Linked DNA regions of Ovis aries. The protein of the gene in region 4 interacts with the protein of the main gene of each other region in a pairwise test. Links are inferred from orthologs where the notes say so. Each region holds a gene or a part of one and is shown on either strand. Other genes may lie near its edges.

Region 1 (6,462 bases), on a different chromosome or scaffold from region 4:
GGAATTTGGTGGCCAAGTAGAAATTTTGGTGGTACTGTCTCTAAAATGTTTCCAAAATATTCTGAAACAGAATTTGGAGGGCTAAAGTCTCTATGTGTCTCAGGTTTGGAAAAGTGGCAGTATGACAGTGATGAAGGACATTGCCAGGGTTTGGATTTGAGACTGGCCTCATGACTAGCAAGGATGCTTTGAGACTTTGGGCAAGTTATTTACTTAACATTTCCTAGCCACAGCATCATCTTGCCATAAAAGACAGACAAGTAACCTTGCTCATAGGTGGTCAGATAAGTGAATTTCTAAACAGCACCTAGTACAGTGGAGTCAGGGCTGCTCCTGCTTTTCTTGTGGTGGTAATGGTGGTGGCAGCTTTTGCTTGGGCTATGGCCCGGGATGTGACCTGGGGTCACTTTCTTCCAAGGCTGAGTACCCAAGCATCCTCTACAAAGGGCCCAGTCTGGGAAAAGCTCTGTTCTCTCAGGATATAATTTCTGCTAGCTCAGTCACACAGTTCTTTACTTAACAAGTAACACATTTATAAATACACACCCCTCCATGTACCTATCAAAGAGCATAAAATCATCCTGAATGTCACCCTTCATATCACAGGCTCAGGACATGTCACACATCAGTCCCAGGAGGATGGTGCACCACCCTTTTCTCTGCAGTCACTGAACGCACCCCGTATCGACTCGTGTGCCACACTGTCTCTTGAGGTCATCGTTTCCACAAATCTCTCCATCTTGAAATACCATCAGGTCATGTGGAAGGATGCACTGTGAAGGTTATTGCTGTTGACCTCTTTTGGGGGACTCATAGGAGAATTCCTGTGCAGTCTTCCAAATTGGTGGTAGCTTTGTGTTTTAATGGACAATGGATCCATGCTACTGCATAAATGTTTCCTCAACAAAGGCTTAGGTCTCAATCTGTGGCCCTCGTGGAGTACATGCCTGGAACTTCTGTGAGCAGGTCAGCTATGAGAAGTACCCCTGGCTGCACTCCATGCCCACTGCTATGTGCCCCGTGCTCTTCTCTAGCAGACGGTGCTTTCCTGTGGCTGTTTTTTTACAAACCACTTTAAGTCCTTGCTTGGAGTGTTTGGAGGGGACTGAAGCCATGGCCTGCAGAATCTACACAGCCTTCTTCATCCAGGGGCTGGATGAGTTCAACAGGCTGAGTGGTCATCCTGATTCATTAAAATGAAGGAATAAACACAAATAACTCTAAATTTCCAGGAGCCCCAGGTTCCATGGACTTGCTGCCTGGGAAGGAAAGATGCAAGGTCTGCTCCTCCCCATAGGAAAGATCCTGCTCTAACTCCACTTATTTTAAGTTTGTGATTCCAGCTTAAATATCAGGGAGTCCAGAACTAAACCACCTGAATGTCACAGTGGCTCTTGTGAAGAAAAGGAGTCTGACTGTAGAGGGTGGAGGAGTCTGTCCAGGAGGAAGAGGAGCAGTAGGTTAGGGTGGGCTTTGCTGAAGGAATTTAGCTAAAAAGATCCTGCAGCCTGAGAAAGCCTAATTTCTTCCTGCCCAGTCCTTAGTGGGTTTCTCTGTCTTTCTCTTGCTTGAGTTACACCGTGGTGTCTCTGGGCGGATGGGCATCTAGCTAGTATTTATATTAAGCCTTTATTCTAAGCGCTTTGACTTTCTGAAGCGATTTACTTCATGGAACCCTGGCATACTCCTTCGGTGTCCACGCATTCATTCAACAAACATTTTTCCAAGGCTAGTCTCTGCCAGGAGTTGGGTGTCCTTGTTTCGTTTGAATTCGAGGGTGCTTGACGCGACCTGAAGGACCCTCGGGCTGGAGAGCGCATCTCAGAGGCCAGGCACCCACCCCAGCCACGAGGGCGCGGCTAACGAACGTCTTAGCTGCTAGGCCACTTTCGATCCCCACTGAGATCCCAGGGTGCTCAGAGGAGTTGGGTGCCGGAACAAAGCGGTGGTTTCCCCCCAGGCACCCTTATCTGGCCTTGGGCCTAGGGCTCAGCCAGTTTGCCTGGAGTTAGTACAAGTTTGCTCCGCAACTTGGAGGGAGAAAGAGGGGGAAAAGGCAACTTCGGCACAAAAGTGGCTCGAAGAAGGCTGGATCAGGGAGACCGCAGGCGCGTCCGCGGGGGACGCCCGGCTCGGCTCCTCACGGCCCCTCCTGGACACCGGGCTCCTGGGGCAGCCGCTGTCCGCCGCCCCTAGTCCTGCCGGCCGGCGCTCCTCGGGCGGGTTCCTCCTCGGCCAGGCGCGCCGTCCGCCCCTCCTCCCGGGCCCTCCTCCTGCAGCCCGGCCTCCCCGCGCCCCCGCCCCCGCCTCCGCCCCAGCGAGCCAGAAGTCCCGGTGGCTGGCGCAGCGCGCAGCCTCCGCCCCGGCTCGGTGCGCACGCCCGCGGCCCCACGCGAGCCCTGTCCGTCCCGCGCCGCCGTGTCCCGCGCCGCCGAGACCAGCGCACGGCGGCCGCTGCGTCCCGACCGAGTGCGGAGCCCGGCGCGATGCGACTCTCGCGGGCGGGCCGCGCGGCGCTCCTGGTGCTGCTGGCCGCGCACTTCCCGGCGAGTCTAGCGCTGGAGGAGAAGAAAGGTAAGGACGCCCGCGCCGCCGTCCTTCCCGTCCCGGGCGGCCGCGCTTTCCGCCGGGCTGCGGAGGAATGCGCGTCTCGGTTCCGGGCGGCGGGGCAGCCTCCGGCGCGGGGCGCGGGGCGCGGCGGGCCGCGGCGCCCGCAGCGCGGCTCTCCCCTCTGCTCTCCTGCCCTCCGCGGGCTGGACGCCCAGGCGAGCGCGTCCCAGCACGTGCGCCCACAGTCTGCCCGGCCCGGGGGCCGAGGGGGGACACGGAGTCCACCTCGCTCCCTCGGACCTCCAGGACCGGAGCGGCCCTCCGCGCCCGTCCCCGCACCCGCGCCCAGCCTCCGGTCAGGCTCCCGAGCCGGGGAGCCATCCTCCCAGAGCTGCCTTAACCTGGAGGCCCGGAAGCTCGTTCCGGGCACCGGCCACCTGTGCTGCGAGTCAGCGAGGGCCGAGGTACCCGCTGGCCCCAGGGGGCGGCTCGCACGGCGCCTCCACACCCGGGTGCGGCCCGAGCTGCCCCCGCCGTCCGCGCCCCTCCGGCGGTGGACTCTCCTGAGTGGTGGTTTCCCGGGACTCCCGAGACTCGCCCCCACCTGCAGCCCGTGGGCCGCGTGTCCCGGCTTCGAGGTGGATGGGACGGAGGGTGGGACAGGCCGTGGCCAAACAGCCGGGGCTTGGTGCGAACGCCCCAGAGGGGGGAACCCATCCTGGCTGGTTCTCCATGGTTTCAAAACAGGGCTCACAGCAAGCTTTCCTCCTCAAAATCCAGAAATTTTTGTGTCTGGGATGTGTTTTCTAGTTTTGAAGAATTTGACATTAAGCCAACCAAAATATTAAACTTAATTTAAATAAAAAAAATTGATGTCCGTGATTCACGTGTGCCAAATATCCAGACCCAACATGAGCGAGTCTGGCTTCGTGACTGCCGACCATAAACCCACTTGAAATGAGAAACATGCCTCAGAAGGTTTAATTGCCCAATTTCAAGATCGAGCAGCTTGGGTTCCGAGAGTCAGGTCTGTACTTGCTGTTGAGGTCATTGGCACAGGGTATGGTGCTGAGCGAGTTTGATGCGGGAGCGCTAAGGCATAAAGCAGTGGTTCCCAAACTTTGTTTCAAATTAGAATCACTTGGGATTTGAAACAGAACAAACGAAAAACGATGTCTGGCTCCCACCCCCAGACTTTGTCATTTCACTGGTCTGGGTTGAGACCTGATTGTATGAATTTTTAAAAGCTCTTCAGGTGATTCTGCTAGGCAGTCAAGTTTGGAAATCTCTGGCAACAGAGGTGAAATCTCTGGCAAGATTGCTGCCAATGTAAAAAGCTCTTTGGGAACATCTGGAGTTTTAACAATCTTGCAAAGGAAAGAGAATGATGATTTTATTTAAAAAAGAAATTAGTTTTTTCAATGAAAGTCTCTCCTCCTCTGAGTCCCAGGCTGTGGTCCAGCTCCTGAATCTGTTGACAACAGGATTCCCGCCTGAAAGCAGGTGGCAAGGGGACCCCATCCTTATTTTAAACCCTTGGAGTGCCTCCGAAGCATCACTTTTCTCATTTCAGAAATGTTCCCAGCTCTTTGCTGTTACCCTTCTGAACACTACTATTAATGCTTAAAGATTCTTTTCTAAGAAATATATAAATACCACTTAAATTGCCTGTTAGTCCCATGTTTGTTCAAAACAGAATGCTTCTGAATACGATAGTGAGAGTAGGTGAACAAATGTTAAAGTAACGTCAGAAGACCAAAATGTACGGGGCAAATTATTAACAGCAAGTGTTAAAGACCTGTGTTGATCAAATTTGGTAAGTTTTATTCTAGAACATTTACTCATTTTAGAGAGGCTTCTTTGGTTCTAAGATACAGTGTCCTTTGTTCTCACTGCACTTGGTCCTGTCGGACACCGTTTTAAATGTCCTTTTAATCTTTACATCAACCATACAAGTTGGCTCTTGTCATTCTATGTGGGGAAACCGAGGTACAAAGAAGTAAAGTGACTTTCCCGCAGCTTGCAAAAGGCAGATGTTTGTTTGTTTACCTGAATTTTTAAACTCTGGCCCTCTGACCCTGGAGCCCTTCCCTGGGTGCTGCCTGTGTTGATTTGTTGTTCTGGTTTTAGAGGAGCTCTGTCGGTGTGTGTGATGTAGGATGCTGGCAGAGGGAGGAAGAACACTGGGGATGAGGAAGCCTCCTGCCCATGGTCTGGACTCCTTCTCCCCGTGCTCAGGAGGCTCCTTTTGTGGAAGAACTCTGTCACAAAGTGAGCGATGAATGTGGAGATTGCTGGAGGAATGTGGAGCAAGCTCCTTGCTTTTGAAAAACAGAAAGGGGAAGGTGCTGCTCCAGAAGTGATCGTTCATGGTATTCTCAGCTAGGCCATCCGGCCCGGCCCCTCCTCAGATGATATCCTTGGCTCAGTAGATCTGGGCTGTATAAAAGAGAACAAATTTGGGGATTTTGAATCGTATCCAGGGTGAAGCCTCCCTTTCTTTAAGGAGACCAGAGGATGCCCACTCAGTACTGGCCTGAAGGCCAGGAGCCTGTGTCCTCATTCCCATGCTGTGTGAAGGTGAATCTGTCCCTTGCCAGCTCCAGGTTCTGAGACCTTGTTTCTCAATTCAATGAATGTTTATTGAGTGCATCGCATGTGCCAGACATTATGAGTTAAAAGGGGCCGTGGTTATCCTAACGGTTTGTATTGTTGTTTCCAGAGTGGTTCTTTAGGCCACTGATTTAAGTAGCATCTTGCTTTTCAGATTTGGAAAGGAGACCAGCATCTGGGTGTCTGTCATCTGTCCACACTATGTAGCTCCATCTAGCAGTGAATGGCTGATAGCTCCCATCGGCTTTGGACTGCCATTTCATGCTTCATATATTTAGTTTCATGGTCCATAAGTTTTCAAGAACTTATTCTGAAATTTGAAGACGCCAATTGCCATTCATTGTGCTCCATAATCAGACTCAGTCCCTGTGATGGCACTAACATGTTGTAAAATGTTCTTAGAGGTGGTGTCAGTAAAGAGGAAGAATTCTGCCCTGTTTAAAAGAAAATATTCTTTGTTTTTCCTTTGGTCCAAGCTCCAGAACCAGCAGCTAGTGTCTGAAACTTTCTTCATGGGAGTGGCAAGCCAGCTCTAACATTAAACTGATGATTATGGTGTTTAAGAGAAGATAGCCCACATTGGTGCCCCGAGCCCTGATATGGGGGCAGGATCTGTGATGGGGATACTCAACTTGTTAAAAGACACGTAGGAACTTTCCTGGCCCCTGCTATGTGACTTGCTATGAAAATTGTGTTTGTGTGTGTGTGCACGCTTTAATTTGGACATGCTCAGTCATGTCCGACTCTTTGCGACCCCGTGGACTGTAGCCCACCAGGCTTCTCTGTCCATGGGATTCTCCAGGCAAGAATACTGGAGTGGGTTGCCATTTCCTTCTCCAGGGGATCTTCCCCACCCAGGGATCAAACCCAGGTTTCCCGCATCAGAGGCAGACCTCTGAGTCACCAGGGAAGCCCTGCAATTTAAACAACAGTTAGAACTGGACATGTAACAACAGACTGGTTTGGAAAAGGAGTACGTCAAGGCTGTATCTTACTTAAATTATATGCAGCGTACATCATGAGAAACGCTGGACTGGAAGAAACACAAGCTGGAATCAAGATTGCCGGGAGAAATATCAGTAACCTCAGATATGCAGATGATACCACCCTGATGGCAGAAAGTGAAGAGGAACTAAAAAGCCTCTTGATGAAAGTGAAGAGGAGAGCGAAAAAGTTGGCTTAAAGCTCAACATTCAGAAAACAAAGATCATGGAATCTGGTCCCATCACTTCATGGGAAATAGATGGGGAAACAGTGTCAGACTTTATTTTGGGGGGGCTCCAAAGTCACTGCAGATGG
Region 2 (6,249 bases), on a different chromosome or scaffold from region 4:
CATTCTGTGAGCTGAAGCCAGCCTATGGGCCTCCAGTCACCTGTGCCAGTCCACCCACCTAAAAGTCCTCAAAACTTTCCAGTATCCCTTCTCCATCTCCAACATGAATAGGTGATGTGTGGTTCCCTGAACACGGCGTGCAGGTCTTCACTTCAGAACCACTGGGTCTGAATGCTCTGTATGCCTAAAGCACTGGCCCAGCACATTCCTGCTGGCTTTCCATCCTCAGCTGGGGCTTCCTCTGGTCCAGGAGGCCTTCCTCAACTGCTTTTCCCCACCTGGCAGGCTAGATCAGCTGTCAGTCATGCCCATATGTTCCCCTATCCCCCATCCCTACAGTTCTCAACACACTTGTGGCAGGATCTTCTCACTTGTTAGCCTCCACTGGAATTCTGTACACTCTTCCAAGCATAGACCAGCTCCCTGATCCTTATCCTGTCACTTCAGCGGTGTCCATAAATGTTCACCGTACGTCATAAGCCAGAAAACAGAATCCTTTCAGAAAACTCTACATGACATTCTCTCCTCTGATGGGGTGAATATGTGTACAGTGATTTTTGGAACTCACTTTGCATGGGGTGATTGCTGCAAAGTCAGGACTGCAGTGTATCTGAGAATGGGTGCTCCTTCCTAATCTGAGAGGCACCTAGGAATGCTTCTTTGTAAACCGCCAGACCTCATTAGCTTCCCATAATCCTTGATGGTGGCAATTTTTGCTCCCTATTTTCTGTTGTGCATCCGGAGCAGGTAGCAGTATGGTTGGGTGTGGGCAGAAGGCTATCAGGTGGGCCCTTATCAGTGCAGGCAACACTCAGCAACTACAATTTCAAACAAGGATGGGCCATACTTAGTTTTAGAAAACTCACTCTAGTAGCCAAGATCAGGGTGGCCTAAGGGGAACCATGTACCTGGTTCCCTTCCTCTACACTACTCCTCTTCTGAGGTCCTGGTACTCCCACCCTGGCCCTGGGTCACAGGCTTGCCAGCCTCCGTGCCACCTGCTCTGTGCCCCTTAGCTTCCCCATTTGCAGAGTCCTGCTCCTTCCCTCCAGTTTGGCCCTTACCCTGGCCACCCTATGAGGACTGTTCCTCCTTTACAGTTCACAAGTTTCCCAGTCCCCAAAGTCCCCTCACCCCATCCACTGACCTCTGAGATTTTCCCCAATGGGTCCAGCCTTCGTGCCTCACTTCTAGCTTTGCTAATAGAAACACTGGTCTGACAACTCTCCCATCATTTCACACCTTCAGACCTGCTGGAACCAGATCCAGAGGCTAGCTGGGGGAGACACCTCTGAAGAAGGTCACTGCCAACAAATCACAGGTCCTAGGGGCCCTCAGCATTGCACTCCCTTCCCTCCATGTATGACTCTGCCATTCTCTTCTGAGAAGACCCAGGAATGAATGCTCCTTTGTAAAACCACAGCTCTGACAGCCAGACCTCCTGAGTTTCCCATAATCCTTGATGGTGGCAATTTTTGTTCAAGTGGCTTGAACTCTGCTCCAGGCTCACCAGCCAGTCTTCTCCCCTCTGTCACTGACCTGCCAGGGCCAGAGGCCTGCACATGGCCATCTCCTCCCATGTCCCTCCTCGGCTTCTGGCTGCTGCTGCTGCTGCTGCTAAGTCGCTTCAGTCGTGTCCGACTCTGTGCGACCCCACAGACGGCAGCCCACCAGGCTCCCCCGTCCCTGGGATTCTCCAGACAAGAACACTGGAGTGGGTTGCCATTTCCTTCTCCAATGCATGAAAGTGAAAAGTGAAAGTGAAGTCGCTCAGTCGAGTCCGACTCTTCGCGACCCCATGGACTGCAGCTTTCCAGGCTCCTCCGTCCATGGGATTTTCCAGGCAAGAGTGATGGAGTGGGTTGCCATTGCTTCTGGCAGCAACCCTGAAACTGCTTCACAGTGAGCAAAGGAATCCAAGGTCCATTCCCCTCGTCTCCACGTCCTCGCCGCCTCCGCCTCCCAGTCCTGGACGCCAAGGCCGCGGCTTCCCCTCGCCCTGGCCCTCCCCTCATGGACCTTCTCCGCCTTCCTCCAGGCCGACTCGCCGCTGTCAGTCTGCACCTGCAAGCCCAGAGGCCCGGCTTTCGGTCCCGTCAGTACCCCTTTCCATCGCCTCCCAGCGCGGTGCTCGGCTGCCGCGCCGCGGGCACCGGTAAAGCGCAGTCGGCGCGCCGAGCCCGGCCTGCGTCATAAGGAAGCGGAGCGATCAGCTGCGCGGCCGCCAAGCGCCGCTCCCCGAAGACCTGGTCAACCAGCGCCGGGCTCGGCCCGCCTCCCCTCCGGAGCCGCCCGGCAGTAGCCCCAGCCCCGCGCGCGCGCGATTGGCCGCGCCCGCCCAGCTCTCCGCGCGCTGATTGGCCGGCGCGCGGGTCGGTCAGACCGGGCGCCGCGGCGGCGGCTGCAGCGGAGGAGAAGCAATCCAGACCGGAAGGGTCCTAGGCGCCCCGGCGCCCCTCACAGCCTTTGCGGCGGCGGCGACGGCGGCGGCGGGGCGGAGCGGAGCAGAGCGGGGCGGGGCGGCCAGGCGAGCCCGGGGCAGCGGAGCCGCGAGCAGCTAGCGCGCTGCGCCGCCAGTCCGCCCGCCTGCCCTCTCCCTCTGGCGCGGCGGCGGGGAGGCGAGGTGAGCCCGGCCGGCGGGTTAGGCCCAGCGGGGACTCTGGGACCGAGCCTCGCCGGGGAGGGGCGGCGGGAAGGCCGCGAGGCCAGGCTCCGCGGGGACAGGGGGGTGCGGAGCGGGAGGACCGGGTTCTGTGGGGTCTGCGGGGTGCTGGCGACCCCGGCCGCAGCCCCTCTTCCTCCAGGCTGCCGCAGTCACCCCCTTACGCCCGGCTGTCCGCGCCCCAGAGCTGCGGGCTCGCTCCCTGCTCTGGCCCCGGCAGACCTGCTGTAGGGTCTGTGGGCGCCCCCTCCCCCGCCCCGATTGTTTGGCACCCAGCTGCATACCTCCTCCCGGATGCTCAGAGCCTGGGATCTGATTCCTGCGACCTTGGCGAAGGCACTGATCCTTGCTGTTCCTCTGTTTTCCCCTCGGCAAAGTGGGGGAAATGTCTACCCTTTTGGACAGGATTGTTGTCAAGCTCTATGAATGTGTGTGAAAGCCCCTGGGCGGGAGCCCGCCCGGTGCACACTTGTGGAAAATGAGCGGGATACTGCTCCTTGCTGGCTTGAGTGTAGCAGAGTCCGCCCAGAGTCCCCCATCCTCATGCTCCCCAAGTGCCTTGTCATTGCATACTCAGTGCCCAGCAGTGCCTGAGCGGGCCCTGACCAGCTCACCCCCAACAAGTCCCCCAACCCGGAGCAGTGGTCTCCTAACCTACCCATCTTACTGGCCTTGAACATTCAGCCCTGTTTACCTCAGGACCTTTGCACTTGTATCCAGTGATTGGAGTTGCCTCCCGGATCTTTGCACAGCTGACTCCTTCTGGTCCTTCTCACATGTTCCAATTTACAGAATCCTTTCCTTGACCTCTCTTTCTCCTCCTTTAGTCTTTCTGTCTCATTACATTAATTTTCTTCCCAGTATCTGGTTTGAAACTATTCTGTTGATTCGCCTGTTTATTTTCTGTCTCTCCCATTAGGATTATAGCTTTCTGAAAACAGGTAGTTGTCTGATTTGTCCACTGCTTTATCCCCAGTGCTTAGAAAGCACACAGTAAGTATTCAGTAATATCAGTTAAGTGAGTAAGTGAGTGAATGAATGACCCTGCCAGCCTGTTGCCTCTGCTTTCTCTGTTTAGTGACTTCTGACTAACTTGTGAAACTTACATGCAGATGATAGGTTGCTTTAGTTTTGTGGAACATTTTAATGTCCTTGACCCTTTTATTTGGTAACTATCAGAACAAGCTGTAATATAAAATCTGACATTTTTATAATGTTTTCGCTCTAACTTCCTTCCTCGCATTCAGGACATATTGACTGAATTCTACATTATCCAGGTCAGCTTTCTGCTCGGCCCTGGGGACACAAAGGCAGTAGCAACAGGGTCCCTTCCTCCAGAGAGCCCAAGAGCCCAGTAGAGAAAGGAGACATGCAGACAGTGCTCGGACAGCTTGCTGTATAGCAGGGCTGTGCTGTGGAAACTTGGAGGAGGCGGTGGTGCTTGGCTGGTGCTGGAGTTGGCTTGAATGGTGATGAGAAACTTGTCAGGTCTAGGGGAAGACAAGACGTGGGGAAGGGCAGGGTGAAGGAAGAACTTCAGCCCAATCAGTTGAGTTCACTCGCTCAATCATGTCGCTGTTTGGGACCCCATGGACTGCAGCACACCAGGCTTCCTTGTCCATCACCAACTCCCAGGGCTTGCTTGAACTCATGTTCATCAAGTCGGTGATGCCATCCAACCATCTCGTCCTCTGTCATCCCCTTCTCCAATATTCAGCCCAATGTTGGGGTCAAAAACCAGCCTGTGGGGCCAGGTGTGAGAGATTAGAGTAGTGGAGACCCTGGAGAACCAGACACCACTTACCCAGCAATTTTTAGAAAGAAGCCAGAACTTGAGATTTGTATCTGCACTCTCTTCATGTTCAATTGTTGGCAGTAGCTTATTTTAAAATGTTTTCAGTGCTGTGAGCCAAGCAAAATGCAGACCTCATTCAGTTTTATTTCAGGATTGTCGGACTCCGGACTTCAAGGCAGGTTGTTTAGGAGGGAAGAGTTGCAGTGAGCTAGAAGGGTAGCCCACGACTAGGGCAGCTCGGCCCTGTTTGTCCAGGAACTCTCTTTTGGCACTGGAGCCCTGCGATAGCAGCTAGGAAGCCTGCTAGCCTCCACTTTCTACACAGGAGGAAGCAGAGGCTCCCAGGGTTTCGGCAGTCTGTTTTGTAGCAAGCAGCTGGAAAGTGAAATTTGAACCCAGGTCTCCCGCAGATCAGCATTCTTTCCTGAGTCCCTTAGCTCTGAGTATTCTCTTTGGCTCTTAGTTTGTTCTGGAAGAATAAAATCCAATCTAGATATCGTTTCCCTTCATTTATCCCTTTTTTTCCCCTTCAAGAGGATCCTACAGGGTTAAAAACAATCCTATTTTGGCATAGTCTGTCGCTGAAGAGCGTTCTTTTCCTGAGTTTCTTGAGGAGAATCCACTCCTGAGAACTTAACTTTTCAGGATGCCACTTTAAATAATTTGTTGACAGATTAAAATGTGTTTATTTGGCCTTCCTAAATAAATGTTAGAAGGTACACCTCAATTTGTCTATTTAAAATAAAATGTCTTAATTTTCTGGATAGAGAAAAGTGCCATATGAAGCAATTAATAGTGAGCAAACCAATTTATTTCATGATATATGAGGTAAAACAAAACCACATTTTTTCCTTAACATTGTTGATTTGGCAGTAGGAGGGCATGGCAGCTCACTCCAGTATTCTTGCCTGAAGAATCTCACGGGCAGAGGAGCCTGGCAGGCTTCAGTCCATAGGATCGCAAAGAGTCGGACACGACCGAAGTGACTAACACACGTGCCTGCACAGCTGTCTCTAATCTAGTTATACTTGGTTAAGAAGGTGACATTTTTACATGATTTTCCTTAAGAATTACTAAATTTGTATTTGCCCCTTTGTGATTGTATGAACTGGTTTCAACAACAGTCTTCGTTGTAACTGTTTATTACGAGATTTCAAACATGTAGGAAAGTAAACAGTGGTATCTAGCTTCAACTATCACTAACCGCTGGCCAACCTGGTTCACCCCTGCCCTCGTGCCTACAGCTCTCACACACCCTCCAGCACACACTGTGCTATTGTTTTCAAGCAAATCCTAACTATCATGTCATTTCACCCATAACTTTTTCAGTTTACGTCTGAAAATTTTTAAAAAATAAGAATTCTTTCAAACTTGGAAAAGCAGTAATTAGTCATTCTGTGATATCAAATAGCCAGCCAGCACTCAGATTTCCAGGTGTCTCATAAATTTTATAGTTCCTTTAATAGTTTCTTCCTTGGAATACAGATCCAGATAAGGACCATATATTGCGATTGGTTGATAATGTCTTTTAAAAGTCTTTTGATCTGTAGATCCCTCTTTATTTCTGTTTTTCTTTTCCTTGTAGTTTATTTGTTGAAGCGATAATATTTCTGTTATTGGGATCTTACTGATTGTACCTCTGCAGTGTAGTTTCTTGTGTTTCTCTGTATTTCTTGGAAGTTCGTAGTTGGATTTAGACAAGGTTTGGTTGGATCCATGGAGCCTTCTTAGGTGGGATGTGCGCTTCCTCTAGAGGCAAGTAGTTTTGATTGGCTCACACTATGATGTTAGC
Region 3 (6,176 bases), on a different chromosome or scaffold from region 4:
GGAATTTAGTACAGGTGTGACTATGGCTAATGATTTATAGCACTAAATACATTTGAAAACATAAAGCTCCCCTGATTCTTAAAACAATAATCACAGGAACATTTCCCAATATCACTCACAGACTCTGGAATTTGTCACCTACTTTTGGCTTTTCTACAAAAAGTCTTAGGGTAAATGATTCCAAATGTCTGTGATATTATGAGACAAGTTATAGTCCTCCAACTTGGTTCATTCTCAAGATTATTTTGATTATTCTGAGTCCCTTGTGCTTTCCTAAATTTTAGGATCACCCTGTTAATCTCTTCAAAGACAACTTGTTCAGATTTTTATATAGTTGTGTTTACTCTGTATATTACTTGGAGATTATTTCTATTTTAACAATATTGTCTTCCAACCCATGAACATGGAATGTCATTCCATTTATTTAGGTCTAATTTAATTTCTTTCAACATTATTTTCTGTTTTTAGCATATAATGTTTGCATCCTTTCATTAAATTTATTCCTAAAGTTTAATATTTTTGATCTATGGTGAATGCAGTTTTTTCTTAATTGTATTCTTTGATTGCTCATTGCTGACATACAGAAATACAACTGATTTTGTATACTGCTCTTGCATCATGAAGCCTTTCTGAACTTGTTTATTAGCACTAACAGCTTTTTAATTGATTCCTTAAGATTTTCTAAATACAAGACCATGCTATCTGCACATAAAAATTGTTTCATTTCCTTTCTAATCTGGATGCCTTTCATTTCTTTTTCTTGCCTAATTGCCCTAGCTGGAACCTCTCGAACAATGTTTGATAGATATGTGGAAAGCAAAGAACTTTGCAGTTTTCCTGATCTTAGATGCAAAAACATTATTTTCAACATTAAGTATGATGTTAGTGAGTTTTCACAGATAGATTTCATAGTCTGAAGAAATTATTTTCTATTCTAGTTTGCTGAATGATTTTATCATAAAAAGTGTTAGATTTTGTCAAATGCTTTTTAATTTATTAGGATTATCTTGTGGCTTTTATCCTTTATTCTATTGATATGGTATATTATAACAACTGATTTTTGATAAACTAACCTTGCATTCCGGAGAAGGCAATGGCACCCCACTCCAGTATTCTTGCCTGGAAAACCCCTGGACGGAGTAGCCTGGAAGGCTGCAGTCCATGGGGTCGCCGAGGGTCAGACACGACTGAGCGACTTCACTTTCACTTTTCACTTTCATGCATTGGAGAAGGAAATGGCAACCCACTCCAGTACTCTTGCCTGGAGAATCCCAGGGACGGGGGAGCCTGGAGGGCTGCCCTCTATGGGGTCGCACAGAGTCCGACAGGACTGAAGCGACTTACCAGCAACCTTGCATTCCTCGGATAAATCTCACTTGGACATGGTGTATAATCCTTTTAATATGTTACTAGATCTATTGGAAAAGACTTTGATGCTGGGAGGGATTGGGGACAGGAGGAGAACGGGACGACTGAGGATGAGATGGCTGGATGGCATCACTGACTCGATGGAAGCTAGTCTGAGTGAACTCTGGGAGTTGGTGATGGACAGGGAGGCCTGGCGAGCTGCGATTCATGGGATTGCAAAGAGTCGGACACGACTGAGCGACTGAACTGAACTGAACTAGATCTATTTGCTAATATTTTGCTGAGGATTTTTATCTACATTCATCAGGGAGATTTTCTCCTCATGTCTCATCTTGTTTTGGTATAATGGTGATACCGACCTATAGCGTGAGTTGCAAAGTGATCATCTTCTTCGGAAGAATCGATAAAGAATTTATATTAGTTATTCCTTAAATATTTAATCATTTTTTAAAATTTTTACATATTTTAAAATGTAACTCCAACAACATACCCCAGTAGAAGGAAATGAATGTCCACCCTTTCACTTTGTAACAACTCTGAAATTACAATCTACGGCAGCGATCTTTGATCAACAATGGTATTATCAAAGTTTGAGCTACATCCAGGGAAGAAAAAGAAGTTCCCTAATTCATCCTTAAAAGTTTCCCAAGTTTTAAAAGAAAAAAAGTGGAGTAACCCGGATCTTGGTGTAAATGGCTGGTCCTGCACCCTCGGCTCTCCCCCCTTTCTCCACTCCCTCCCCCGATGCCGGGTTCAGTGCCAGGTACTCGCAGATCTAGTAAGTGACACCGGGGATGGCTGTGGCATCATCCCTCTTCCGTCAGCATCTGGAGAGGAAAGGGGGTTGGGCCGAGAGGGTCTCCCGGGCGGGGCGGAGGAGGAGAGAGTGCAAAACACAGCCTCGCCCCTGGAACCCTCGAAGCAGCAACGCCCCTCGCTATAAATTTGGAGCTGCCTCAGAGAGGACGATTCCAGCGCCAGTCAGCCAAGGGCCTGAGGCGACTGAGCGCCCGGGCAGACGCGCAATTAGCAGCTCTGCCTACCTACCCGAGACGGCGATCCATGAGGAGGAACCCAAGCGAGCCCCGGGAGTGAGGGCGCACCCTGAACCGTTGCCGCCAGCTCGGCCCAATGCCGGCGCAGCGTCCCGAGTGAGCGCGGGTGAGTGGCGCGGACTGCCCCGCCAGCTTGGGGGCTGGGGCGGGGGTGTCAGTTTCGTGCCAAGGTGTCAGCTGCGGGCGCGGTGCCGGGAGGCTCTTGGAGACGGTGGCTAGAGCGAGCTAAGGTTCCCCGGCACCCACTGGAAGGTGGAGGACCTTCCCCAAATCAGATGTGGGAAGAAGCAGTCTGATCTTGTTTGCCGCATGCCCCCCCGACGTTTCATTCTGATTTGACCAAACTCTGTGGATCACAAGTGAGGCATCTGCAGAGATGGGATGCAACCAAGGAAACTTTCTTCCCGAGGCTTTTTAGCTAACTCGCGTCTTTAAACTGTGATCTGTGCATATTACTCCTCGAGGTGGAAGTACCTTTAAAAGTTGTGCCAGTTTAAACGAGTACTTGATCTTCCCCACACTCTGCCAGGCACCTGCAAGGTTCACCTCCCCACCTCCCCTCTTCAAATGATAACGCTGGGTCCTTGGCCCGGGATGCTGAGTCCGCATCGAATTAACTGGGGAGAAGGAAAACGGAGCTTTTCCGCACACGCCAATCCCCACAGCCCTGGCCAGAGCATGTTTGTCACTGAGGGGGATTTTAGAAGAAGTTCTTCTGCTTCCAAGACCGAGCAGAACCTCTTGCTGACGCCTTCCCTTCATACACCCCTCTACCTAGCACCCCATTCTCCAGTTCTGTTAAATGTCCAGCCTGATCTACCCACAACGCCAGATGCTTTGTCTCCAGAAGAGTCTCCTGCCCTGAGCTATTGAGCACATTGCGGGCCTCTTTACCTGATCTTTCTTTGCTGTTGGCTTAATTAAGAATCAAACACCCACGAGTGGCCCTCTGGAGCCCTGTCTTCTTGGTGAAAGTTTGGGTGCTCACTTTCCCTTGGGATCACATTTTCCACCTGGCTACTTCTAGTGTCGTTCCTAGATGAGAGTAACAGTGAGGCAGGGAGGAAATCTGGCACCCCGCCGCTCTGTTTTATAACTTTTTTGAACAACCTCTATCTCCTCTTCAAGTTGCTGTCATCCCCAACATGATTCTCTTGGTAGTTATACCACCCTGGGTCTCCAAGGTTTATTCTCCTTAGCATAAGCTGTAACACCTTTATATGTCTTCTTTAAAGGAAACTGCCTGTTTCCCTTGTTGCCTGCTAGTGTTTCCCTAGCTCTCAAGGCCCCACCACATGGATAATCTCTCTGGAGACTGATGGATTCCAACACCCATCTGGAAGACAGTGCAGGGGCAAGGAAGCACAGAGAGCTGGGAATGGAGACTTCCACATAACTGGCCATGTGCTGTTAGAGTTACTTCACAACTCAAACCTCAGGTCCCTCTAGTGATAAAATTCCTTGATTCCTTTTGTTTCCTAGTTATTGCTTTAAAAAATAAAGTCTAAAACAATTACCCTTTTAGCCCATGTTTGTGCTCCTCAAAACTGTCTAAATAGCTCTCCTGGTAAATTATCTGCTCTGGAAAATCATTGGGTCCAAGTGTCCATCCCCTAGATTACAGTTGGAAGTTTCTACAGCCTGGCTGAAGGATCAGGGAGTGGCCCCAAGTTGCTGGATCTCAACACTTTGCTAAAGTTTTCATGATTAGTAGTATCTAGTCCATTATCTACTCTATTACAGCTCCCTTTTTTTTCTTCCTAATTTCTTTGTTTTTTGTGTCCATCATGAGGCCTCAATTTCTAGCTCGATTCTTCTTTGATCTTAAACTGAATCAACTGTCCCATCATCCAACCCAAAAGAAAGCTGGTTTTCTTCCACTGAAGCCAAAGGGAGACAAGTTTTATAAAGGGTCTCCCAGTCACTCTTGCTTTGGCAATGCTCTGCATCCCAGGAGTTTTGAGCTCAAATCTCTGCTATCCCCCTCTTACTCTGCTTTAGTGCTCAAACTGTGACTTTGTGAATTGTTCAGGTTTCTTCTTTGTTTTTTCTTTTCCTACTTTTAGTAAGAGTTGTGTGTGTGTGCTGGTATATAATTTGGGGTTATTCTGCTGCTGCTGCTGATTACTGTTGTTGTTGTTACTATGATTAATTCTTGTCCTGAGCTAGATGAAAAATAATGAAAGAAAATTTGCTGCTTACCCAAAGCCCAGGTAAAATACTTGAGAGCTTCTCAGATAGCTCAAATAGTAAAGAATCTGCCTGCTATGCAGGGGACCTAGGTTCCATCCCTGGGTCAGGAAGATCCCCTGGAGAAGGGCATGGCAACCCACTCCAGTATTCTTGCATAGAGAATTCCATGGACAGAGGACCCTGGCAGGCTACATACGGTCCATGGGGTCTCAAAGAGTTGGACACGACTGAGTTACACATTCACACATTCGAAAAGGAGTTTGAAACTCACAGTTAAAATGCATGATTCACGTCTCTTATAGTTTTATCTGTGCTTTCACAGTGTCCTTTTAATGCAGCTGACAGTTGCTGTATTTTGTTTTCAAATTTGATACAGGGACCAAGATCCAGACCCATCACACTTGGATGTTTTGGCTGCCTGATGCAGGCTCCCGGTCTTTTGCCCCAAGCTCACTAGTTTACTTAGTCCTCTTCCTGCTCAGTCATGACTGAGCAATGCCAGAGCCTCTCAGAGCAGTCTGAAAAATTAAAAATTTTAGTTAGAAGTTTGAAGTACATCCAAGTGTTATAAAAAATTAAAAGCTGTTTTGAAGACAGACTGTGGCAATAAAAAAATACAGAGCCAGAGCAACAAAATGTCCAAGTATAAAAAATGTAACCAAACACTTACCCCTGTTATCTAGCAAATTGGAAAAACCAGCTTCTTAACCCATCACTACTGGAAAGTACTATTATTTTCTTCAAAATGATTATAAATTTTCTCTTTCAAAATTGTCTGAAGTCATTGGATAACACGGTTTGTTTCTTTTCTCATTAGTGTCTATTAAAACAGTACACTAAATTTAGGTATCGTTTTACATTTTTTATTTTTAATCACAATAGGAATTTCAGCTATGAAAAATCAGCTTTTCAATGGCTTAATATACAAAGCCATCTTAAATCTAGAAGTATCTCTATGGATTTAAGGTAATAGGCAAATGATTTGGCAAATTACTACTATTATCCTATTAAAGCTCTAAAATACATCTATAATACATCACAGCAAAAAAAAAAATCTACAGAGTTATAAATTTGCCAGATGCTTTGTTTGCTGGTTATTTTAATGACAAACTTGACAATTAGAAAACAAAATATATGTTTAGAACAATCATAACATGACAAGTGAATCTTAGCTGTGGTTGTATTAACATTAAAAGTTTTCTGATTTTGATCCTTTCTCTTCATAGCAGATGATCACTGTGGGAAAAAATTTCCTTGACTATGAAAACCAAAATTTCTTTCAAAATATTTTACTAACAAAGAATATTTATATATATATATATATATATATATATATATACACACACACACTAGAAGTAAGTGTCTAGAATCTTCCAGTTATCATTTGATTTTCCTTCCTATAGTCAAGAATATTTTAAACTGTGTTGCCCATTTACTTTTCTAACACAAATTGGAAAAATGGGTAAGAAATAGGTATGCTTTATTTTTCATAGTCTAAGTACCAATTCTACATGCCCTTAATATTTAAAATCATAGCATTAATAACCATTCAGTTTGGGT
Region 4 (2,980 bases):
GCCTGAAGCCTCAGCTTCTGTGTGACAGTGTAAGTACCAGGCTCCACAGAGATGTCAGTCGTGTAGCTTCTGCCTGCAGCTGTGGCCCCGCCAAGCCCCAGGAACAGACAGTGGGAGCAACCACACAGAGCAGTGGAAACAGCTCAGCCACAACAGGTCACCCCGTGGTCGTGTATGTTAGCCCCAACAGGGACGGGGCTGCCCTGCCCACCTCCCACAAGCATCTAGTCTGTGGGAAAGTGAGTTGTTATTCCCTCTGTAAATGAGAGAGTTTGCTCTGTGGTTTTATCAAACTGCCTTTGAGTCGGGACTGACCAAATCAAGTTTCTGTGTTCACCTTGGGGCACAGGTACAGTTCAGCCATTCCGTAAATGTTTATTGACAGCCTGTGGGCCAGGTGCCACGTGGGTGCAGAAAAGGGACTGAGTCTCACAGCTGACAGTCACGGATGAGCACACGATGCACTCCTTAAACGCCGCTCAGAAAACACACGCACTCCGGCCTATTAAAAGGTTTATTTTCTTCTTTATGCTCAGAAACAATGAAGTGGTCTTGCCCCCCAAAGGGTCTCATCCTGAAGGAATGGGAGGCAGAGAGAGTGACAGGAGGGGGTGTAGGTGTGAGGTTGAATGTGGGAGTGCTTTCCCCCTCTTTTCCTATTATCACTCCTCTTCGGCTCCCCCTCCAAAAAATTGAGGTGTGAACACAGCTTGCCACCCACTGGGGGACTGGGGAAGCACAGCTGAAGTCAAAAAATTAATGCCCATGTTCCACAAGAGCTGGGTCCAGTGCGTATCTGGTGGGGGGTGGGGGAGTGGGGGGGGGGCATTGGTCGAGGAAGCCGCTGGGTGGAGGGGAAGGGAAGAGGGACTGGGATCCCCCTCAGTGACAGTGGGGGTCTTGGTCCTGCCTCCACCTGCCCCCCCGCCCCTGCCATCCACTCCCTTCTTCCAGCCTCCCTTCCTAGCAGAACTGGTCGTCGTAGTCCTCATCCTTCAGCCCCTTGAGCCGCAGTCGGGCAAAGTCCTCAAACACAATGTCGTCGTCTGTGGCATAGCTTGGTGGTAGAGAGGAGGGGGTGAGGTGGGGGCCCTAGGCCTCCTCCACCTCCCAGTCCCCTCCCCTCCCAGAGACAGAGGCGCCGGCCAGAGCAGCCTTGGGACTGGAGATGTTTGCAGAAGGGACAGAGAAGGGGTGGTAGTTGGCAGCTCATTAGCCTAAGTCCTCTCAATTGGATGCTTCAACCATCCCGCCTCCCAAAGGGAAAAATAGGGTAGATCTGAATGTTACAGGAATCTGTCCAGAGAGTCAACGCTTGAAGGGGTGGGGCACTCTTACTTGGTATCGAATTCAATGAGGTTGGTGTCCACAGGGGCATCTGTTTCAGGAGCAGCTGAGGGGAGGAGAGCCGGGGGGTGGGTGGGTACTAAAAGGACCAGCTTTCCTCTCCGCTGGCCTTGCTTCAGACCCTCCCTTTGTGGGCTTGGGTGGGTGGCAGGCTCACCTGATTGGGGCCTGGGAAGGGCGATGTGATCATGGGGCTTGGGGTGCATGAGAACAAAAGGCAGCTCCACTGAGACGTCCCTGGGATTGGGGGAGAGGTGGCAAGAAGAGATGATAGTGCAGAGCCAGAGGAAACCCCTGTGCCCCACCCCACCCCCAGGCTCCCCCCAGCCCAGCACTCACCCGCCTCGAGATACCACCAGCTTCACCTTGACCCTGTAGGACACCAGGATCCCCAGCACCTCCTTGTTGGCACCCTCCTTCACGCTGCAGTTGGGGGAAGGGGTTGGACCAGAGCCCACTGCTCTGCCCACTGCCCACCCCGGGGCCCCCATGAGGAGGCGGACTACAGATACCAGCATGCTCATGTCACGTAAAGTACTCTGCTGTGGTCCTTCTCATCGCTCTCTCAGTAAAAGCCCAAGTCCTTACAGCCCAGCCACCCTGCACTGTCTTGCTCTCCATCAGCCCTCTGACCCCACTTCCAGCTCCCAGGCTGGCCTCCAAGGCTTGCTGTGTGTGGTCGTGTACAGAGGGGTGGGGAGGGGTGAAATCCAGCCCCTACTTTATGAAGCTGTTGCCCCTAGAGGGCCTGCCTCAGACACCCGGGTGGTCCACCTCAGGGTCTTTGTGCCTGCGGTACCCTCTGCCTGGAGCGCTCCTGCCCTGCACATCCACATGACATACTCCCTTGGCGTCTTCACCCAGAATCCACCTCTGGATCAGGCCTCCCCATCCCTTCTACCACCCTCCCCTTTATATCTCCCATGTCAGTCTTGCTTTTTCTCCTTAACACCTGTCACTAAACACACTACACATTCTGTCCTGTATCTGATTTGTCTGGCCTCCCTCTGAGAACAGGAGAGGTGTTTGGGATCTATTCAGTGATAGAGCCCTGGCCCCGGGGACAGAACCTGGCACACAGCCGCACAGAATGGGTGTCTAGTTTCCTGCGCTGCAGCCAGCCCCCCTCCCTGCCGACTCCCCCTCACATGGTGCTGGACGCCAGGTTGGTGTCCTCGTGCTTGAGCTTCCCATCCAGGGCGAGGCCGCGCTTCTCCCGGTTGTTGCTGAGCAGGGGGGTTATGGTGTACACCTTACAGAATGTGGAACTGGGTGACACCTGGTCACTGCAGGGTGGGGACAAGAGAGGGAGACTCTGAGGGGGCAGGCGGGGCAAGGGGGCAGCTCCCACCCCCAGCGGCCTCTCCCGCATCACCAGCCCCTCCTCTCTGTGGGCACGGGTCACAAGGAGTAGGTTTTGGCTCAAGCTGCTCAAGAAAACGGGCAGCTCAGAGCCACCCTCAGACTGGAGGGAATGCCCTTGTAAGTTGAGACAGTTTGAGAAGAACCACCCACGTCCCCATGTTCCCAGGGCCCACCCTTCCCAGGGCTGTTCTGCTACTCACTCTTGTTCAACCTGAGCCACGGGACACTTGTACTGGGCAGTGCTGAAGAGGCAGATGTCGGCGTACTG
Region 5 (5,198 bases), on a different chromosome or scaffold from region 4:
TATGGGATGGGTATATTTTGAAAACTATGCGAACATAATAGATTCTTAATTAATATGTGTGGCTTTTATGGGAAATATTTGTTATTTTAAGGCATCTGTCATGCAAAAACAATTTCTGCTAGTGAGGAAAGTTAAAAAGAGCATGTAGTTTAAATTTTGTTTCTGAGTTATACTTCTTGTGTAAATGTCCATGTTGCTTTTGTCCTAAAGCATTTTAGTGTTCTATTAGAGAATACTAACAATATCTTCTAAACTACTAAGTAATTTATATAAATTTATGTATAACCTTCATTTGTGTGGCATTTATTAAGTGCAAATCATAATTACCTTTGTCATTATATCATCTGATTCTCATTCAGCACAATGGAAGTGACTTTATTCCTCATTTAGATACGGAGGAAATTAGACTCCACATTTTTTATTTGCCTAAGGAATATAAGCTAGAAAGTTCTAAGATGAGAATTTGAAACCTGGTATTCCAATTCCAGTTGCGGTCCTTCTTCCCCATCCTCTATTCCTTTCTGCACTGTGGTGACACAGTACATTGAAAGGATTAAAAGATGGATTTTAGAGTCAAACAGGACTGGGTTCAGCTCCTGCTTTTGGCACTGCCTGGTCTTGTGCCCATGGGCAAGTTATTTTCTTCTTTGAGACCCCTTTGTGAATTAAGCTAAAAATAGTTATACCCTACCCCACCCTAACAACACACACCATGGGACTGTGGGAAGGATTAAATGGAATAATGCATGAAAAGCACATAGCAGAACGTTCCATAAATGTTAGCCATTGTTATGTTATTATGTAATCTAGAAAATATGTTCAGTTACACTGCATGAAATACTTTCCATTTTTCAAAGACACAAATGATACATGTGAAATCAAACCCTGACAATTAATTTTTTAAACAGTAAATTCATATGCCAGATGCAATGGATAGTATTTCATGGACAAAGACTCTAGTTTTTTTAAGAGAAGTTATCTTTTGCTTTCTGTGGTTTCAAAACATTTCTTAATGTTAACACCTTCTTATAATCTGAGCCATATGAAATTGTCATCTATTTAAAGTCAGATACTACAGAAAAGTGGCAATTTCATACGGCTCAGCCCAACAGATCAACAAACTACCCAACAGAAGATTTTTCTCGTTGCAAAGGGATTATTGAAGAAGTTGAACTTGAAAATTATTTCATTTTCAACATATTCTCATTTTAACAGATAAGGAAGGAACAATGCCACACTCCCTAGAATTAAGAATTAAAGCATACAACCTTCTCTTCCTATCCCCAAGCACATACACGTATACCCCAGCTCCAAATGAAATCCCAAGAGTAAAATTAGGTCTCAATCCCTGCAAATTTCCAAGGAGGGCACCAAAAGTACTGGACAGCAAGCATGCTGAGGAAGTTGGCTGCTGTTAAAGTCACCACCTGTGGTCTTGCCAAATGTCTGAAAGGGAATATGCCATGAGACCTGTGTATTGGGGAAGATGGGGGGGATGTCCAGGGGGCAAGGGTAAAGAGTTTGGAATATCCGGATGGGGAAGTCCTTCTCTGTGGCACACTGCTTGCCTCCAAGTGGGCGTTTGTATGCCGTTTGTTTACTTCTTTTTGTCTGTATGTCGGTGTCTTTATGCTTCTGGGTGCTCCTGGTTTGCTCCTGGCCATGTCGATCGTGCTGGACAGGGGTGATTGTGCCAGTCGGCTTCTGTGCCTGAGCACTCGTTGGTGCGCTGGATGGGTGTGTCTGAGTGTCTGTGGCTGTGGTTCCGTATAAGTCTGAGCATGTATGTCGGGGTACAATGTGCCTGCCTGTGCGTGTCTCGGTGGGCACGCTCATCTAATGCGAGGAAGTGCCGGAGTATTGCCATCTGCCCTGAGACCTCAAGCCGCACAGCCGCCCCAGGCAGACAGGTAGCGCCCACCAAAGAACCGGCACCTTCTAGCTGGCTGGTAAGCTCGCTAGAGCCGGCTTCAGCCTCCGGGGCCAGCCGAGGGAGCCCCGAGGGAATGGTGGCCGACCCGCCCTGCTAGAGCAGCTGGGTCCCGCCCGGGCCAGCCCCAGGAGCAGGCAGGAGAGGGGAGGGAAGGGGCGGGAGAGGGCGTGGGCCTCGCCCCTTTGGGGCTTCCCGCGTTCTATTGGTTGAAAGTTCTAGCACGTCACGGGGAGGGCAGTTCCCCTAAAGTCCTGGTCACATAACGGACAGCGCGCACTCAGAGACGGCTTCTCCAGAGCGCAAGCTGGAACTGGCTGAAACTGCCCGGCACTGCGAGTCCAGAGTACCCCCGGAGCTGAGTGCACCACGCACCCCTACCACACCCGCACCCACCCACGGCCGCTGAATGAGTCTTCCAGGTGCTCGCTTGCTGCCCGCAGCGCCCCGCCGGAGGTCCGCTCGCTGAGGGCGGCTGGTGCGCCGGCAGCCTGTGCGCTCACCTGCCAGCCTGCGCGCCATGGGGCAGCCCGGGAACCGCAGCGTCTTTTTGCTGGCGCCCAACGCAAGCCACGCGCCGGACCAAGACGGCACGCTGGAACGGGACGAGGCCTGGGTGGTGGGCATGGGCATCCTCATGTCGCTTATTGTCCTGGCCATCGTGTTTGGAAACGTGCTAGTCATCACAGCCATTGCCAAGTTTGAGCGTCTGCAGACGGTCACCAACTACTTCATCACCTCCCTGGCCTGTGCTGACCTGGTCATGGGCCTGGCAGTGGTGCCCTTTGGGGCCTGCCACATCCTCATGAAAATGTGGACTTTTGGCAACTTCTGGTGTGAGTTTTGGACTTCCATTGACGTGTTGTGCGTCACGGCCAGCATTGAGACCCTGTGCGTGATCGCTGTGGATCGCTACTTTGCCATCACGTCACCCTTCAAGTATCAGTGCCTGCTGACCAAGAATAAGGCCCGGGTGGTCATTTTGATGGTGTGGATCGTGTCTGGCCTTACCTCTTTCTTACCCATTCAGATGCACTGGTACCGGGCCAGCCACAAGGAAGCTATCAAGTGCTATGCTAAGGAAACCTGCTGTGACTTCTTCACGAACCAACCCTATGCCATTGCCTCCTCCATTGTGTCCTTCTACCTTCCCCTGGTGGTCATGGTCTTTGTCTACTCCAGGGTGTTCCAGGTAGCCAAAAGGCAGCTCCAGAAGATCGACAAATCTGAGGGCCGCTTCCATGCCCAAAACGTCAGTCAAGTGGAGCAGGATGGGCGGAGCGGTCTAGGACAACGCAGGACATCCAAGTTCTACTTGAAGGAACACAAAGCCCTCAAGACTTTAGGCATTATCATGGGCACTTTCACCCTATGCTGGCTGCCCTTCTTCATTGTCAACATTGTGCACGTGATCCAGGATAACCTCATCCCTAAGGAAATTTACATCCTTCTAAACTGGTTGGGCTACATCAACTCCGCTTTCAATCCCCTTATCTACTGCCGGAGCCCAGATTTCAGGATTGCCTTCCAGGAGCTTCTCTGCCTGCGCAGGTCTTCATTGAAGGCCTATGGGAATGGCTGCTCCAGCACCAGCAATGACAGGACTGACTACACGGGGGAACAGAGTGGATATCACCTGGGGGAGGAGAAAGACAGTGAACTGCTGTGTGAAGACCCCCCAGGCACCGAAAACTTTGTGAACCAGCAAGGTACTGTGCCCAGTGATAGCACTGATTCACAAGGGAGGAATTGTAGTACAAATGACTCACTGCTGTAATGCAGGTTTTTCTACTTTTTAAGACACCCCTTCTCCCCGGTTCCCTGCAACAAAACACTAAACAGACTATTTAACTTGAGTGTAATAAATTTAGAATAAAGTTGTACAGAGATGTGCAGGAGGAAACATATCCTTCTGCCTTTTTATTTTTTATTTTTTTAAGTTGTGACAAAATATATTTGAGTAACTGTTTCTTGTACAGTTCAGTTCCTCTTTGCCTGGAACTCGTTAAGTTTATGTCTGAAGGGCTTCAGTCTCAAAGAACCTGGGGCTGCTATGTTTTGATGACTTTTCCTGCATATCTACCTCATTGATCAAGTATTAGGGGTAATATATTGCTGCTGGTAATTTGTATCTGAAGGAGACCTTCCTTCCTGCACCCTTGGACTGGAAGATATTGAGTCTCTCGGACCTTTCGCTGTGAACATGGACTCTCCTCGCCCCTCTTATTTGCTCAAACGGGGTGTTGTAGGCAGGGACTTGAGGGGCAGCTTTGGTTGTTTTTCTGAGCAAAGTCTAAAGTTTACAGTAAATAAATTGTTTGACCATGACTTCATTGCACCTGTTTCTCCAAAACCCCTTGACTGGAGTGTGCTTGCCTCCCCCACTGGAAACTGCAGGTAACTATTTGCAATAACTGCCCAGTGACTTAATGTGGAATGACACGCACCGATTGCTTAACCCTTTCGTTTGCCTTTGAATCTGCCGCTGCAAACCTGCGTCTCTTCTAACGCTGCTGCTCCCACATCGGTTCTTTCGCCGTGTGCTCACCCAGCACAGCTCATCTTGCTCTTCCTACGAGCATTATTCCTGTGTTGTAACATCAGAAACACTGACTCATAGAACTGGAGTTATGGGCATCTGTTGTGTGCCTCCATGTGCCTCTGCTGCCCACCTTCCAGTTCTACTTGCTTTGCAGCTGCTTATATTTTTATCCTTGTCTTTTCTTATAGTAGAGATCATACTGCATCAGGGCTTGGCATTTTGAGGATAAGGAAGCTCTTGTGAAAAAGCTGCTCAAACATAGCCCTGAAATTCCAAGGGAAATGAAAAAGTCATGGGTTATAGGGAGAAAAGCTGGAAAACATGTCACTGGTGAATACCTCATGATCTAGAAACAGGGTTGAACCCTCCTCCTTTTGAACTGCTGTCCTTCTTTGCCCCCTCTCCCTGTGACTCTAGTCACTTCAGGACAAATCAAGATTTCTCAACCTCGTACTTTTAACATTTTCAGCCAGATAATTCTCCACTGTGGAAGACTGTCCTCCACATTGTCAGATGTTCAGCAGCAGCCCTGGTCTCTACCCATGAGATGCCAGGAGCATCCCCTGAGCTGTGACAACCAGAAATGTTCTCCAGTCACTGCCAGATACCCCTACCTTGAGGGATGAAATTGTCCCTGGTTGAGAACCAGTTATAAACTTCAAAACTCTAAGCAGATGTTTAGATTCTACCTATTATAACCACTTTATTTTGCAGAGCACCAGAGAG

The links.
Region 1: the proteins of ARRB2 (region 4) and EGFR interact in a protein complementation assay, tested with the Homo sapiens proteins (3 studies listed by BioGRID and IntAct, with this or other methods). The link is inferred for Ovis aries from reciprocal best matches to the Homo sapiens genes ARRB2 and EGFR.
Region 2: the proteins of ARRB2 (region 4) and MAPK9 interact in binary tests that used the Homo sapiens proteins (3 or more experiments, as listed by UniProt). The two-hybrid records come from large-scale screens. The link is inferred for Ovis aries from reciprocal best matches to the Homo sapiens genes ARRB2 and MAPK9.
Region 3: the proteins of ARRB2 (region 4) and AGTR1 interact in a two-hybrid assay, tested with the Homo sapiens proteins (2 studies listed by BioGRID and IntAct, with this or other methods). The link is inferred for Ovis aries from reciprocal best matches to the Homo sapiens genes ARRB2 and AGTR1.
Region 5: the proteins of ARRB2 (region 4) and ADRB2 interact in binary tests that used the Homo sapiens proteins (3 or more experiments, as listed by UniProt). The link is inferred for Ovis aries from reciprocal best matches to the Homo sapiens genes ARRB2 and ADRB2.

What each region holds. Positions count from the first base shown.
Region 1 is NC_056072.1:1,091,300-1,097,761, reverse strand, and holds the start of EGFR (epidermal growth factor receptor), read left to right. Parts: upstream 1-2,324; 5' UTR 2,325-2,486; coding exon 2,487-2,574; intron 2,575-3,232; exon of another isoform or gene 3,233-5,891; intron 5,892-6,462. UniProt on the Homo sapiens protein: Receptor tyrosine kinase binding ligands of the EGF family and activating several signaling cascades to convert extracellular cues into appropriate cellular responses.
Region 2 is NC_056058.1:712,578-718,826, forward strand, and holds the start of MAPK9 (mitogen-activated protein kinase 9), read left to right. Parts: upstream 1-2,379; 5' UTR 2,380-2,623; intron 2,624-6,249. UniProt on the Homo sapiens protein: Serine/threonine-protein kinase involved in various processes such as cell proliferation, differentiation, migration, transformation and programmed cell death.
Region 3 is NC_056054.1:240,268,641-240,274,816, reverse strand, and holds the start of AGTR1 (type-1 angiotensin II receptor), read left to right. Parts: upstream 1-2,336; 5' UTR 2,337-2,529; intron 2,530-6,176. UniProt on the Homo sapiens protein: Receptor for angiotensin II, a vasoconstricting peptide, which acts as a key regulator of blood pressure and sodium retention by the kidney.
Region 4 is NC_056064.1:26,515,312-26,518,291, forward strand, and holds the end of ARRB2 (beta-arrestin-2), read right to left. Parts: coding exon 2,913-2,980; intron 2,634-2,912; coding exon 2,496-2,633; intron 1,771-2,495; coding exon 1,687-1,770; intron 1,585-1,686; coding exon 1,505-1,584; intron 1,427-1,504; coding exon 1,339-1,426; intron 1,058-1,338; coding exon 964-1,057; 3' UTR 501-963; downstream 1-500. UniProt on the Homo sapiens protein: Functions in regulating agonist-mediated G-protein coupled receptor (GPCR) signaling by mediating both receptor desensitization and resensitization processes.
Region 5 is NC_056058.1:58,014,875-58,020,072, forward strand, and holds ADRB2 (beta-2 adrenergic receptor), read left to right. Parts: upstream 1-2,450; coding exon 2,451-3,707; downstream 3,708-5,198. UniProt on the Homo sapiens protein: Beta-adrenergic receptors mediate the catecholamine-induced activation of adenylate cyclase through the action of G proteins. The beta-2-adrenergic receptor binds epinephrine with an approximately 30-fold greater affinity than it does norepinephrine.